Drosophila melanogaster: one gene and its partner. The protein of the gene in region 1 interacts with the protein of each later gene in a biochemical or structural test. Each region holds a gene or a part of one and is shown on either strand. Other genes may lie near its edges.

Region 1 (7,984 bases):
ATGCTCTCTTCCACGCAACATAAAAAAAGTTCAATCGCATGGAATGAACAGAGAGAGAGAGAGAGAAAGAGAGAAGTGTGCGAGAGGGACCAATGACCGCATTGAGCTATTTATAGCAACAAATAACGACAACAAAAATAACAGAGCTATACAACAAAGATAATGTGTGTGGAAATTGTAATTAAGTTTTCAACTAAATGTTTACAATTTCAGCTTTCCTTTATTTGCCTCCTTCATTTTGATTACATCGAAAAACCCGAACACGATAAGCTTGCGGTTAAAAACGGTAAGAAGAACAAGAGCAATTCGATAACTGTGACAGCAGCGATAAAGAAAACGCGTTTCCAGTTATCGGACGTGTCATGTGCCACTTAATTAAACCAACTAACTTTTTGGACCAACAACATACTTGGCGAATTTCGCAATTTAACACTTAGGCCAATTCAAATAAAGAATAACGCCGCAGGAAAACAAAAAATATCTAAATGTTTACACAACAAACAAAATGCGAAGCGGGGGGAGACAGGAAATGGCCTTTAAAAACACTTGGCAACCAAAAATAAAATTAAGAAAGCTAATTTAAGCAGAAAACCATTTTAAAATGGTAGAAGAGAAAGCTAAGTTAAGCTAATTTTCACAGATACACTTGAATACTTTTCTTATGACAGTGATTGAAGATTTAAAACAAAACGTCGATTTTGGAATTTGAAAACTCGATGACAAGTCAAAAACTCAAAACAAAAACAGAAAACTATGAAGATCTAAACAAAAAGCGTTTAAACAAAACTCAAATTTAAGCTTAAATCAATGACAAATATGAATTTAACTGGAAAGTGTGAGTAAATGATTTTATTTATGCAGACAAATTTCACAATTAATCAATACCAAGAGTAGTTGGAGAAAGAGAGAGAGAGAAGAGAACGCGGGAGAGACACACGATCATGTGCAACTGATAAGCATTGTCACACGACTTTACACACACACACACACACGCACACGTTTGGAAGTTCAATAAATTTTCATTTAGGGCTTTATTGATTTCTCGGCAAGGAAATCAAAACAATTTACGCCAAATGCTGAAGAAATAATTACACGATTCTCGTTGCTGCTACTTTTTTTTTGTATTCTGCTCCACACGCCGGCGCGACTGCGACTAGTGTCGTTTTTTCGGCGTAGCGATCGCTTCAAAAGCCGCGCAACAAATGAGCGCACAAAAGCAGAACAACAAACGCAATGGCAAAGCCAATAGCAGCGCAGGCGACGTCGACGTCGTAACAACGGCTTGTGGCAAAAACAACATGAATATGAGAGAAAAGCACAGAAAGTTGTATTATGCGAGCATCGGATACCCTACCACTAAATAATTTCGTCTTAAAGCTTTGCTTTCCAGAATTCTGCGGATTTAAATGTCTTATATAGATTCTTAAATCAAGATCTCCACGAATATGGGGGTTAGTACTTTGAAATATGCATAAGCCAAACGACTGAAGGGTATTATGCTAGTGTGGAAAGCTGAAACTAGAAATATACAAAAATAAATTTATTGAGTAAATATCAACAACAGAAAAGAAGGGCGGTGGGGCGGGGGTGCTGGTTGAGAATGAGGAAGCAGAGAGGTAGAGAGCGCCAGTGAGAGCGGGTTAAGAGCCGCACAGTGGGCGTCATAGATGAAAACTATCTGTTATTAGCGATAAAAAATTGTTTCGATAAAAAAAAAAATTGAATAAAAACTGTAATTTCAAAATGCTAAATATGAACCTCAATTTTGTTTCTGGTAAAAATAAATTGGAATAATAGTTCAAAAATATAGAAACTACTTTTTTCTACATTCCATGTTATTTGCACGATGTTTAGGCGATGCTGACCCACTGGCAATTGCACAATTTGTAAGGTTTTTCTTTTGTTTGCCCCCACCAATTTTCCCTGCGCCTCGTGTACTCGGATTTTATCAGCTCTGACGCGCACGATAAGTTAAAAAGTTTCCAGCGGCAATAATAACAACAAGCGAGAACAATTAGCAACAATAAAGACCCAGAGTCCCAAAAAGTGGAGCATAGATACAGCAGACATATGTATGTGCTTTCCATACCGCACCCAGATACAAAAGTGGAATCCAGTATCTCACTCTCTCTCGCTTTTACTCTTTTTCCATTCCGTTATCTTGCTGGGCAAGATAACTGGGTTAACATACTGGAAAGGGGGTTAATTTGTGGGGGGAAGCCCGCACAGTCATCATGGAAAATTCATAAATTGCATCCACAACAGCCCATCCATAAAACCCAGGCGGACATCTAGATAGATACAAATGTATCTATAGGTTGATTATGGGATCGTCAGTTTGCATTTGGCCATAGCGCTAAATTCTGTTCTGCTCTGCATAAAAATGCGCCATGGTCGAAGAACGAAGACTGAAGACTTATAAAAATAAGATATTCGCGCGCGCACACACACAATACTGATACTGATTTTTGCGTGGTCTATTTATTTTTAGAACGTCTCCGTCTCGTTGGCTATTTGCATATAATTTCCAATGCAGTTCGGCCATGGCAAAGTGTCTCGCCGTGCGGAAAGAGGCAGGTTTTTGGGTGCGTATGAATCCAAATGGATCGGAAAATGGAAAGCAGCTCAAGAGAAAGATTCGAAATATACTCTATTCTAATCTTAAACAAAATTGTGTTCAAGAATTTGCAAAAGGTTTGGTTACCACATTCAAAGTTGTTTGGTAATACTTAGAGTGGCTCTGAGCATTGGTAAAGTATTTGGTAACTCTTTTATTTTTTAAATAAATTTAATGTAATACTGCGATTTTCAATTGAGTTTTCGTATAGCTTGTGTTACTTCTGTTAATGGTAGTAATTAACTATAAATTGTTTCATTCAAAACAATTAACGAAATTTTCCACACATATAATTATAATTTAGGTGTACTAAAGTTGGCAATTTAAGAATCAGCGTGATTCAGTTACCTAATCACCTCACAATCCAGCTAATGGATCCTCTCATTAGCTCAGGTAAATGAATACGCATAAATATCTCATTCGCTTAACACATTTTCCGTTTATTGCACTCTGTTGCGTTTTGCAAATATGCGACAGCCTTAATATAGAAGAATCAGATAAATTACAAAAATACACGTGAGTGTATTTATAAAACGTCTCGATGGAAATGAATTTAACGACATTTGTAATTTCAATATTGACACATTAACGAGTTGCTTGAACTTTGAATTGCAGTTGCAATATCGCTTCGCATTAATTGTTGACACAGTTCGCACTGCAATCGCGCGCAAGAATGAAATACAAATGACTAGATACTATATCTATACTATGTATGTATCCGTTAGTTGAGTAGATGAGTGCGCGGCTATGAGTACTGAGCCGTGCCAAGTGCCCAAAGTGACTGTTTGTTTAGATTAGATTTTTAATTTGGCCGATGCCAGCGACTTTTCAGCACGTCATGTGGAAGAAGAGTAATTGATTCCTGGTTTTTGCATTTAGTTGCTGTTCTGATTTGGGAATATAGTATTTGTACTGGCATTGATGAATTCATATAGCGCATACTCATTTCGATCTTTTCGTGTTTTGGTTCTCGCTGTTGGTTCCAAATGATCAACAAATTTAAGAACTTTTCACAGGATATACTATAATACTGCATATACTGACAAAATTTGGAAAATCCCCTGATCTATGTATTTTGTGAATCCTCAACTCTCTTTGCTCAGTAAGTGTTTTTGCTTTGGAAGCCAAATAAATCCTAATAAAGTCGTTTTTGCTGAGTAAATTATAAATTTCGTTGTGACATGTTTATAAGCTTTTTGTGGCAATTATTTTTTAATAATTATTTAATTATCCCGAACCCGACTGGATATAAATCACAAGCAGTATAACGGGGATTCCCCTGACCGAATTCAGTTTTGGCAATTTAAGTTGGTTTGCCAAATTCGCATTTAAAATTCACACTCCTATCTATCAAATAGGTATCATTTATTTAGCTATTTGCATAAGGATACGTGAATACACGCACATACAGTATTTTTGGATTATAAATGACAAATGTGGAAAATAACTTTCGGCGATAACATGAATTTCAAATTAGTTTGTGCTTGTGATTTGCTGAAAAGTTGAGTGTCGTAATCGTGATTTATATAGTTGGATTTTTCAAAAATTTCAACCCACTTTGCTTGAGGCACACTAAATTCAGCAACTGCATTTTGTCTGGTTGTCACTATTTTTTTTTCTCAAGTTCTGAAATGATTTTAGTTCTGGCTGTAAATTGCTTTTAAGCCAAGATCTTTAGCCACAGATGTAGATTCGATCACACGCGACACTCGAGAATGACTGAGTTGAGTTATCAACGGAACTGCGATTGGGATTCGATCCGATTGCAGTTCGCCAAATCGCATTGCTCGCGATCGCTGAATGGGCCGCTCCTCCAGCGCGAAAATCACAAATTCGACTGAACTTCACAAATCGTTGTAATCAAACATTTAAAATGAACTGTTTTTTCCACCCCCTCCCCTTTCCATCCATTGCTTTCGTTTCGTTTAGCAATAAACAACAATAAAATTAAATGAGCTCTACAAATGGCGGAACACGACGACAGGCGATACTATATACTATAGTAAAAACGCCGTTGCCGATCGACGAAATAAACGTACGAAATGTGCGAAATTTTGCCGCCTCCATCAACGCGCGTTGGCGTTAGTTAGTAGTAGTTAGTATCCGCCTCTGTATCCCCATCGGTGTCTTTGTATCTCTATCTGTATCTGTAACACCAGGTGTATCTATGTATCTACGTATGTCGGTTGACGTAAGCTCGGATTTGCCGGGCTTTATGGCCAAAGCCCAGCTGATAACTAACATGCATGAGTGATTGCCTTGGCTTCCACTTAAAATTTAAATACCTTCGGCAGGGGATTTTCGGGAATTTGCATAGGCAATTGTTCCTAGTTCCGTTCTAGCGGGTTCTACAAATTTCGTTTGATACGAAATAGAAAAACAACATATCACCAACTTTTATAATTAACAGGAAGTCCTTGTGTCGCGAATTGTGAGTAAAAGTTGCTTTTTACAAGTAAGTACTAGGATATTCATAGATCTATAAATGTAGATTCTTCATATCTTGGAGATACAACGTATCTCTTTCTATCCTCAAGAGGACTGTCTTTGGTAAGACCTCTCTTTTCTTATAGACGTCTTTCAACCATGTTTACCCTGGTTTTTAGCAGCACTGTACCCAGGTAATTCTTCTTCATCGACAAAGACATGCGCAAGTTTGATGTTATTATTATTTTAGCAATTTGCATACGGCTTATGGGATGTGTATTTTTAAATTCTTGTTTATAGTCAAAGTGTGCTGCCTTATTTTCCTACTTTTTGCTTTAATCTTATTTTTAACAAGGGAATTTGTTGTATCCAAGCCAACAGAGCTTGTGTATCGAAATGTGTGAAATCTGTCAGGCTGTGCAAAATCGTAAATATATCTATAATTGTACGCTGGGTTACTTTTTATGCGCACCGGCGATTCGAGTCAAGTGATCGAACGCCCTCAAAAAGTTTTGACACTCGAAGAGCGCAAAAAAAAAAGAAGCCGAAAAAACCAGCGATTTAATTAGCGCCCAATGCCATTCGACACGTGTGTGGGTGGGCCAAAGGTTGAACCCCATATTCCTGAGCCCCAAATATTTCGCTTTCTACATACATATGTAGATATACTACTCACAATACTAATACTAGGCGTTGGTCATAAACTCTGTGAAATTTTTCACTTGCGTGACGTCGGTGACATCAAAATGAGGAAAACTCATTAATGACCACGAGCTGGGGGCCAGCTATGATGAATGAACCGAAACGAACCTATTTAGTATACTAAAAACTACAGTGGATATACTTTTGTATATTTGTATACAACCAGCTATAGAAAAATATTATTAAAATGCATATTTTCTTTATAGTCTTGTACTAGTAAAATGTTTTCTAAGCAATCGAGATACATTTAATGAACAAACTTGCTTTAAAAAGTCTAATACTATAAAATCCCATGAAAGATATATTTTTAAAAGTATATTGCAGATCGACGCGTTGTTCGTGAAACTCTATACATTTGTATAAACAAATGCGCATAGTATATTTCTTAAAAAAAATTCAAAATATGTGCCATGTGCCATCGCCCATCAGCGAAATCAATGCTCACATGCTCGGTTCAATTTGCTGGTCAACATCTCATGTGATTTCTGCTCAGTCGGTCGATTTCTCAAGGCAAGGACGTTTGGGACTTTTGCACTCGCAAGTCATTTTTTCGCAAGAAATTAAAAATAAAAAAACAGCAGTAAATAAATCAATATTCTTGTACGCAAAACATTTTGTCGAGCTCGAGGGTATTTCAGTTCATTGAGTTCAAAAAGCTGCGCAAATGCAGGAAGTTAATGTATTCGGAAGTCATATGACAAACATAATTGTCGCGCATTATTATTCAAAACTAAAACTAAATGAGCCGCGTTAATTGCTCTTTTGTTTTATTGCCAGAGACAGCAAGGTTTTGTTTAAATAAAAAACAAATTAAGCGTGTCAAAAATGTGCAGCGATCTTTTGAGAAATTTTGTAAAGACAACCCAACATCAATTCAAGCAATTAAGAATTAAGCCTTCTTGTTTCAAAATCAATAAGTTGAAGTTGGAATTGCTTGTGTACCTAGTTCAGTATGGAGATCTCATATGAAGTAACCTTGCCACAAGTCGCACAATCGCGGGGCTTAATGTTGCCGCCCCTCGATATGCAAAAGATGAGAGATATATGTACATAAATCGTAAAGCCGAGACGGCGCGTTGACAATGCCTAAAAATAGCAATCGCAATTGAAATTTCGTTCCATATTAAGCGTGGAGCCCAGTGATAGTTTCGTTCTTTCCCTGGTGGTCATTGTGGCTAAATTTAAATCTCTGAACGTCACATGAGTGGGTAGGAAATGGTGTACGGGATTGTACTATAGTGCGGATTGGGGCAAGCCTTCTCCTTTGGTGCAGAAATTGTAAATTACAGAGCGACGCAAGTTCAAAGTCAAAATAGCAATTGAACGAACGAGCGAACGACGGAGGAGGAACAAGTCCGCATGTCAGTCAGTCAGTTCAGTTCAGATCGTGGCGATGCTGGTGATCATCATCATGTTTCCGCTGATCGTACAAGATCATTATGCCAATTTGTTGTTGTTTTTCCGCTCGACCGAGCATGCAAACAAATTAAGACTGAGGGCGCCGTGCCCCGACTAGCGAAATTTAATTAGCATTGCCTCACTGTGCCCGCATTCAATGCACTGGCAAATGATATTTTGAATTATTTTCAATGATTACTCTATAGGAAATGCAGAAATATATGCAGCAATATCACACTCACACGGCAGCATTCCAAGTAGTAACGAAGTGCTTCACAAGAGTAAACTAGCTGTGCTCGTTCGATTAGAACGAGTGGCGAGTAACTAGATGGACTAGTTACTTTCAAGGCGTAATATTATTTAACATGTGAATGATGTAGCTTTCATGGAATGACCATGTTATGCAATTCAATTACCATTTTTCCCAGTGCATGTCACCGTCTTTTTTTTTTGCGACTGAAACGCTTTCGAATGCCCTCCCACACATTTCCGCGTGCTAGCAGTGAGGCAAATTGAGCGATTAGCGCCGAGCAGAACGTGATCCACCGGATTGATTCCCCACCCCCAAAAGCCCCGAAAAAACCCCACTGTGCCTTCTACCTATATCAATTTAAATTCGATTTTAGATCACCATTTAGATTTCACAGTCGCCGATTGCATTTCGCTTTAATGCGTTTCGTCTGCCGAACGAGACGAACTTCTATAGCAGCGTGCTTTCTTAATGACTTTATTATGAAATCCCCATTACGATGACTAATTGTTGTGAAACTAAAATATTTGTAAATCACGCTAAACCTTAATGCATACAACAAACAAACCAAAAACTAACTATCTTTAATA
Region 2 (7,893 bases), on another chromosome or scaffold:
TTACGCCAGCTGAGCACACAGCTGAATCGCGTCCTGGCCACCAACTTCTTTGCCCGCAGCGAGCTGAGGTTCATCCATCAGCTGCTTACAACAGATGGAATCGAGATCTATCTGAAGCGACAGCAGATGCTGCAGTTGGTATACAATTACCTATGCTGCCTGTCCACTGCCCATGCCACACAGATCAAGAGCATCTTTGAGCGCTTCATTTTCAATGGCGACTTTGTTAAATTAGACGAATCTAGTCTGAAACTGCTGCAGCAATCGTGTCTGGAGATGGTGTATCCTCACATTATAGCTGTAAGTAATTTTATCCTCAATTGAAGTCTTATAATTATAGCATTATATATTCCTGGCACCTTGCTCGATTGACGGAAAATTTAATTTACGGTATCTACTAGGAAGCACTTCACGTAATAAATTAAAGTAAAATAGAAAACAAACCACAAGCATAAACAGACTCAGGAGTAGAATTAAGTAAAAAAATAACAGACTTATGAAATCGATTGGCTTGCAATTTAAATTTTCCAGCTCAGAGCCGCCGTCATACAATGGCACATGTTCAATGCATATTTATTGATTTTTTGACTTCTTCTACCAGGACAACTCAGAGCCGTCGCTGTCCTTGAGCTACACACAAGCGCCCATCTTGCCCACGGACTGGCCCTTCTTTCAGCTCCGGGTTATCCTCAGCAATTACTTGCAAAATGTGCAGCAGCGTCCAGCGGCTATACACTCAGGTGAGGATGCTTACTTCAAACTTTGCTTTCCTTGGGGATAAATCATGTTTTCTTTTTTTTTTCTTCCTTCTATTGAACAGAAAACCAGGTGGTGCTCATGACGTTGACTTTCGTTCGGCAGTTGGAACGAGAGGGACTGCAGATTGTTAGCCCGCTGGAAAAGCTTATGTATCTGATGATTGCCTTCATGGGCCCGGACTCACAGTTCCTGGCTCCGGATTTGCATGAGCTGCTTCGTGATTGCCTGATGGATTTCTACAGGGAGAATGCAGCCCATGAATTTGACTTTGATGCAGAACTTGTGGATAAGGCGAGATTTGAACCGCTTTACTACCTGTTTGTCGAACACTTTGAGGCGGCCAGCTATGGTGATGAACTGTTTAGTTCTCTGGTGCTGGTGCCTCTGGCACAGAAATATGATAATAAGTGGCGAAGGCGTCTTTGGTCGGAGCATGTTCAGGCTGTGCGTTTCATAAACTGTGATGAATCTATGGTAAGTGCAAAAGGCATTAATTTGAAATGAGTGTGAACTATATATGGTTTGATTTTCCTTCTGCAGCTAATGGGAGGGCTCTTTGCGTATTTGGAGCCCGTGGAGGAGGAGCCTTCGTTGGTGAAGCTGTACGGTGATGCATTGGCACAAAAGATGGTTCGTCCTGGAAGCATTGCCTATCGGATAGCCCAGCACCACTTTAACCACTCGAAGTCGGTGCACAAAGCCACATTGTTTTGATAATCTGAACATTAATAGTTGATAATAGCTCTTCACGAGACTGCGATAAACGTACTTAATTTCGGAATCCAAAGTCGTTTTCATGTGACAATACTCTATTTATAAGGCAAGCTGATTTGGTTTTATCTGCTCCCTGTTTCAAGTGCTACCTCGCAGTTACTTTGAGTTAAGTCCATCGAACTGTTGGGTAAATTTGTGTATTTAGCATATACCTCCTCTCGTACATTATATATTTTTCTAGCTTAAGAGATAGTTCCAGTTGAATGCATAGCAAATTACTGGAAATTCCACAGCAGGCTGGTCGTTTATCATATATTGCACTGCACTTTGGTTAAGGCAAATAATTACATTTTCGGATAGAGAACTCTTAGGTTGTGTAACCGGGCTTTTTGGGCTAATTGCGATGGGCCAACGAAAACTGCGTGTGACAGGCCAACGGTTGCAGGGCATTTTGCTATCGCACTCAATTAATTAACATCGTTTGACTTATTGACACATGGGCCACGACAACTTGCCTCCTCCTTGCGGCTTCGCAGTCGTAAGCTTTGACGGCTGATAAAATGTATGTAATTAAAATGAACACAATTGGAGGGGCCAGTGCTAATTAAATCATTTGATCTAAGTACTCGTGCATGTTGGTTTTTCTCCATTTTCCTAAGTACATATGTATGTATATGACTTGGCGAATGACTTGTCACGGGGCTTTCGTTTGACACATGGCGTATGCGCAACATTGGGCCACATAATTCAACTTTCGCATGATTTACCCCCATCAAAATCGAAGAATTCAGCACCGCGAGGCGATGGTCTATGAGTGTTTATGTGATAATTGGCTTTAAATGGCTGCTAATTATTTTATAACTGCTGGGTGTTAGCGCGCTCCGTAAATGTTTGCACAGACCTCATAAATTTAAGCAACGCTAATCTGTTAAGTCAACTGAAATTAAATTTCGATCGAATCGTCTATTAATAGCCAGTTCAAACTTGATTGCCACTTGAAAATGATATGGAAAGGGGTGCATAGATACACGATTTCCAAGCTAATTGCATTGCTATCGCCGACTCCTTGAAAATTAATTACTTCTTTATTGGTAAAGAATTGCTATTTTGCTTATAATGGTTTTTAAACCAAAATTGTGTGCGTTGCTGTATGACACAACTTTTTAAACTTTCGAGAGGATTCTAGAGCACTTTTATGTTTATATGTAGATATTTTTGAAAATAACTTTTTCAAATGGCGCTTGCCTTGCACCACAAAATCAATAAAATGGGCCAATGGTTTTTGTGATACGGAGCCAAGGGCCCGCAGAGTTACATTTGCCCACTTGGCGGTTTTGTCGGCCGAATTCCCAGATATTTGTTTACGTTCGTCGGTATCCGGAGTCGCCCCTTATCTCTGATAAAAACATTCGAAACGGTAGATAGCGAGCTCCCAATTATTGGAGGCACTCGATATGACTGGGCTCTCGCCGGCTAATGAAAACCTATGGGGCACAGTTGGTGTTCATTGCGTCCAAATATTTGCATTGCATGCACTTGACCAAGAAACCGGTTCTGATTGCTGCCTGCCTCTTGGGAAACCCCCAATTGTCAGCGGGTTCCTTGGCAAAATATTTGCGCCCCTTCATCGCCAGCTAAGCGAAGCTGTGGAAAAAGTCATATCTGTCACTTGTGTTTGCCAGCAGCTGGTAAATATTTGAAATAAGTCGTCGCGGAAAAACAACTGTCATGTTTGAAAAATTACTTTTTGAGTTTTTCGTTCAATAGGCACTTTTCTCTTCTCCATGTTGAGATTCGAAAGTGATTCATGGCACTTTAATGTTTCTTGGTTATTTAGAAGTATAAAAAACCTTTAAAATTATGAAAAGTGGAAATTAAAAAATAAATATATAAGCACCTTAACGGAAAGTATAAGATTTTGTGTGCAACCCTCCTAAAAGTGTACTAAATTTTTTTTCTAACGGTGATTAACTTGAATTTTCACCGGTTGCAGCGTATCGAACAACTTGCTGGCCTGAGTCATCTTTCAACTCATTCAGATGGCATGCAGTTTCGGATACGGATGTTTCTAACATTCGTAAGGGTGCAAAAGCCACCACCAAGGTAACCCCAAGCCAGCTATCTGATTCACACAGAAACCAAGCCATGGCCATGGAAGCCAAACTCACTCAACACAACTTCAGTTGCGTGCGTGTGTGAAATGGAATTTTTATGCCGCACATTTGGGCAACTTGGGTTCGTTCGATCTCCCTAAATATATATTTGTATGTGTATATATACCCTATATACTATATAGCTCGTTATGCTGTCGGTTGGTTTGGTGCCTCTCGAGGCACATTTGTTTGTTCGCCGCATTCGAGCGAACGACGAAGCGAATTCGCCGCAATCGCTTCTGATATTTTGTGGCGATCGCCACCCGAGTTTGCCTCAGTCAGTCGTCGACTCTCTGAACGTGCGTTTGGATAGCTATTGCCATAGCTCCTCATCGGAATCGGAATAGGAATCGGAATCGTTTGTCGGATCAGCTGCCACGTTTTGAACTCGAAGTAAGAACAGGCAACGATCGTTTATTTTCGGTGCTGGATGTTTATTTTCGAAAACGCGCCCCTTTTAGAGGCCAGTGTTGAAGTGTTCAAGTATCTGCAAGATACCACAAGTACCTGAAAGATTAAAGCGTGTAAAAGTATCTGCAATATGCAATAGAATCTGAACGTTTGAGTATCTGCAAAGCTGAAACATATTCCAATATTTCCAAAAGATACAAAAGTATCCAAGTATCTGTCAGATACAAAGCAGAGCTTTGTACCGCATCTGCTGGCCCGCAGAGTGAACCCATCGTAGACTGCTGCTCATCCTACTGGAACACAATTAACTGGCTCGAATGAGCGTTTTGCAGTGCAAGAAAGCGAAACATCGTCTAAATTTCATATTGTGTATGCAATAAGCCTTCGCCCATCCGAAGAAGTGTGTGTGTAAAAGCCAATCAAGTGCCCTTCTGAACAAACCAAATTTGTTGTTGTTTCGGTGCAAAAGTGCTTTTGGGGAATTTGAAGTGGGTGGCTTGTGGCTAGCATTTGGATATCAGCCGTATCTCAAGTACTCCCCAGTTCGTGCTCATGGATTGCAAGCTCAAGGCAGCGTAGATAATAAAATAATTATTTGTCATACACATAAGTGAGCTTAGTTTTCGCATTCCCACACTTCGTTTTCGTATCGCACTCTTGCGGGTAAATATATGTGGTATTTACCAAAGTAAACTACATCGTGTGCGTGTTGCAGTGAGAAGTGCATTTATTGCTGCAAATTCGTAGTTCAAAGAAAAAACTTATAAATTACCTGCCAGCCAGTTGGATATTAATTTAGTGCGTTTCGGTGAGTTCGCAAAGCGGCAAATTGTATTTCATACATTTCCCTAGAATTTGACTGCGGCTTTTTTGGCCAGCTGTGTTGGCTTTGTATATACAAATTTACATAAATATGTACTTATGCACGAGTGAGCGAAGCTGGATATCTTTTGACCAGCGGCGGTGAATTTCATTTCAATAGGCTACTTTTTAAACTCTCGACTTAAAAATATCTCAGATATGCTTTCCAAGTATCCATGTTTTCAGCCTTTTTGCGAGCGATTGCCATGCACTTGAACTTGAAAGCCAGTTTACCAGTTTTTCCGGGTCCGGTCTCGTCTATCTTTGGCAAGTGCTCTCCAGTTCATCTCCAATTATCTTTGCCACTAAATGGGGTAATAAATTCACCGGTGCATTTATCTGTCTTCTTGAAATTCTATGACGACAATGTGGAAGACGCTCCACTAGAATCATTCAGTGTTCAGGATTGCGGTCAGTTGTCATTTGCTGCTGTGCACTCGCATATCTGGTTGCATATATATAGTTGCTCTTATGGTTTTGACACTAGCATATGCTATTTAAGAACTAAGAGTCAGTTTATATCTAAAAACTACACAAGAGGAATCTTATTTCTTTGATTTATAAATTTCTAATAATACTTTTCCTCTTAAAATTGCTAAAAAATGATTCTTGTAAATCATTTTCCATATTATTTCCATGTCGCTACTGATATATTAATAATGTCCAATTCATTTATAAATTCATATTTAAAGTAGTTAAATATTTATTTGAGTTTCACCACTTTGTGTTTGTGAAGCGCCATATAAAATTCCACACCATTAAACTTAAAGTGCTTGTAAAAAATGTTCATAATTTCATTACCTTTCAAGTGGCTTTTCATATACATTTTAATTCAAAAAAGAAATTCAATTATAATTGCTCTAAAAACTGCATGTTGGAGTGAGAGTGAGCACCACTCCAATGGTTTACGATTATAAACGCCCAATAGTAATCAAGCAAAAAAAAAATCCCTCAAAGAAATTAAATTCTTTTTAATTTAAATAACAATGAAATATAGGTTATTTAAAAAACTCATAAATTAAATTTATTTTAAAGCCTTAGGTAAGGTAAATACTTCGAAGTTTGATACCTGGAAATTTAAATTTTTGAATATTTAATAGTTAATCAAAATGAAAAGACCATGAAATTCAATTTTTTCGTGGACAAATAGAATACAGATCTATTAGAGTGTTTTTCAAAATATAATATTATTTTGTACTCAAATGTTGCATTACTTTTGAAGCTACTTAAGGTAAAAAGAACCCTGTAGAAACTAAATGCAGCTGCATATAATGGGCTTCCATTGCGCCTGGCAACAGAAACCCAGATCCTGGGGTTGCGCTCATTCCACCCCGAAAGACCGATCATCGATCGACATTCTTTATGGGGTAGCATTTGAAGGTCGTGGCCCATCTTCGAGTATACCAACTTAGAAAATGAACTGAATGCCATGGAGCTCAGCTGGTTTGAGCTGTCGCAGCGCATATGTGAACCGAGCACATGCCTCGATTAACTTGTCCATTTGCCAAACCATTGACACACAGACCGGCTAATGGAAATGCAACTCAAATTGTCACTGCTCCCCTTAATGATTCTCGACCGACTTTTGAGGCTGACTGGGGTGGAGCGGCTGGGGGTCGTCGGATTTGCGGCTCAACTGGCGCCAAAGCCGCCTGATCCCCAAGCTTTGCCTGTCAGCCATGGACAATAGGCACTCGGCTCCAGCACGTTGCCGCACCCAGGGGCAAAAAGTCCGGAGAAAGTCAGCCAGACTGACTGACAGATAGACGGACAACGAACCGGAGATCACAACAGAACGCAACGCACTGGCGAACAAATAAACTAATAAATCATTGACCTTGCGAACCTTGACAAAGGCGGTCGACCAGAAAGTGCACGGCATCCATTTGGTGAATAGACTGACGCGAGGCACTCAAAAGAATGGAATATATATCAGGGAAATAAAAAAAAAATATTTTAAAATTTGTGTAGAAAACAATAGAAAAATGAGGCACTTGTTCTATTGCCACTTTGGGTTATCTTCTTAAATAAGAACTCTTGCCTCTAGACTTCTTTCATCAATTCAATCAATATTTTATTCATGAGGTATTCACATATAAGCTTAAATAAGAATTTATAAACAAACTCGATTGCCCAAGAAGCATACGATGAAGACTATATATTATATATCGAAAATATACGAGCACTCTTGCGAAAATGAATACTCGATGAGCATGTTCAAGATATAAAACTGCGTACCAGAAAACAAAGGAAATATCTTGAAGATACAAAGAAAGTATCTGTACATTTATTGTGCGCTGCCATAGAATATTTTGTTTTCAATACTTTCTTATTTCTAGCTTCCGACAACTTACTTCCACAGACAACAAAGATTAAATTGAAAGTATCAGTATCTCACCGATTGTTTTATTTTGGAATTTCTCGCAGTGCACTGAGAAATTGCAGTCCACGGCGGAAATGGGAATGGAAATGTGAATGGGAACGGTATGTGAATTAGGTATGGGTATATGTGTATGCGACTGAGAATAAGAATGAGAATGATGTGCTGCCTGGGCTACGGTTGAAAATTATGCAAATCACAGCGCCAAGTCACGAAATTCCCGAGTTGCGGTGCAGTCGCCAAGTCGCCAAGTTGCCGAGTTGCCAAGTAGCCCCCGCGTTGACAATTTTCACCTTTCGCCTTTTTGTCTTTGCAGCGATTTAATGGAGATTTACGGCAATTGACGGAACGATTCATGCCGAGATAGCGATTTCGTGGGCGTGTGTCCAGCGTCCAGCGAGATACTTTTGCGTAAGAAATCCGCGAATCAAAGTGATGTGATGCCCAGTCCATCTTCCTTTCCGCAGAATGTAATTCATAAGTTGAACACGCGCACAATTAATAGGAATTAGCCATCGTGCCTCCCATTGCTGGCGGCCAGCAGTACAGAAATATCCCGTGTGCATTAGCATTATATAATTATTATTTTAGATTAGAGCCAGTTGGCTTTGATGT

The links.
Region 2: of the proteins of fray (region 1) and Ncc69, one has a biochemical effect on the other in vitro, tested with the Drosophila melanogaster proteins (one study listed by BioGRID).

The regions. Positions count from the first base shown.
Region 1 is NT_033777.3:18,577,695-18,585,678, reverse strand, and holds the start of fray (frayed), read right to left. Parts: upstream 4,464-7,984; 5' UTR 4,209-4,463; coding exon 4,175-4,208; intron 3,401-4,174; exon of another isoform or gene 3,325-3,400; intron 3,096-3,324; exon of another isoform or gene 2,974-3,095; intron 1,207-2,973; exon of another isoform or gene 1,093-1,206; intron 1-1,092.
Region 2 is NT_037436.4:12,387,449-12,395,341, reverse strand, and holds the start of Ncc69 (sodium chloride cotransporter 69), read left to right. Parts: upstream 1-3,897; 5' UTR 3,898-4,019; exon of another isoform or gene 4,020-4,845; intron 4,846-7,512; exon of another isoform or gene 7,513-7,689; intron 7,690-7,893. Other genes in the region: CG32104 (uncharacterized protein), read left to right, coding at 1-300, 602-740, 821-1,233, 1,300-1,473.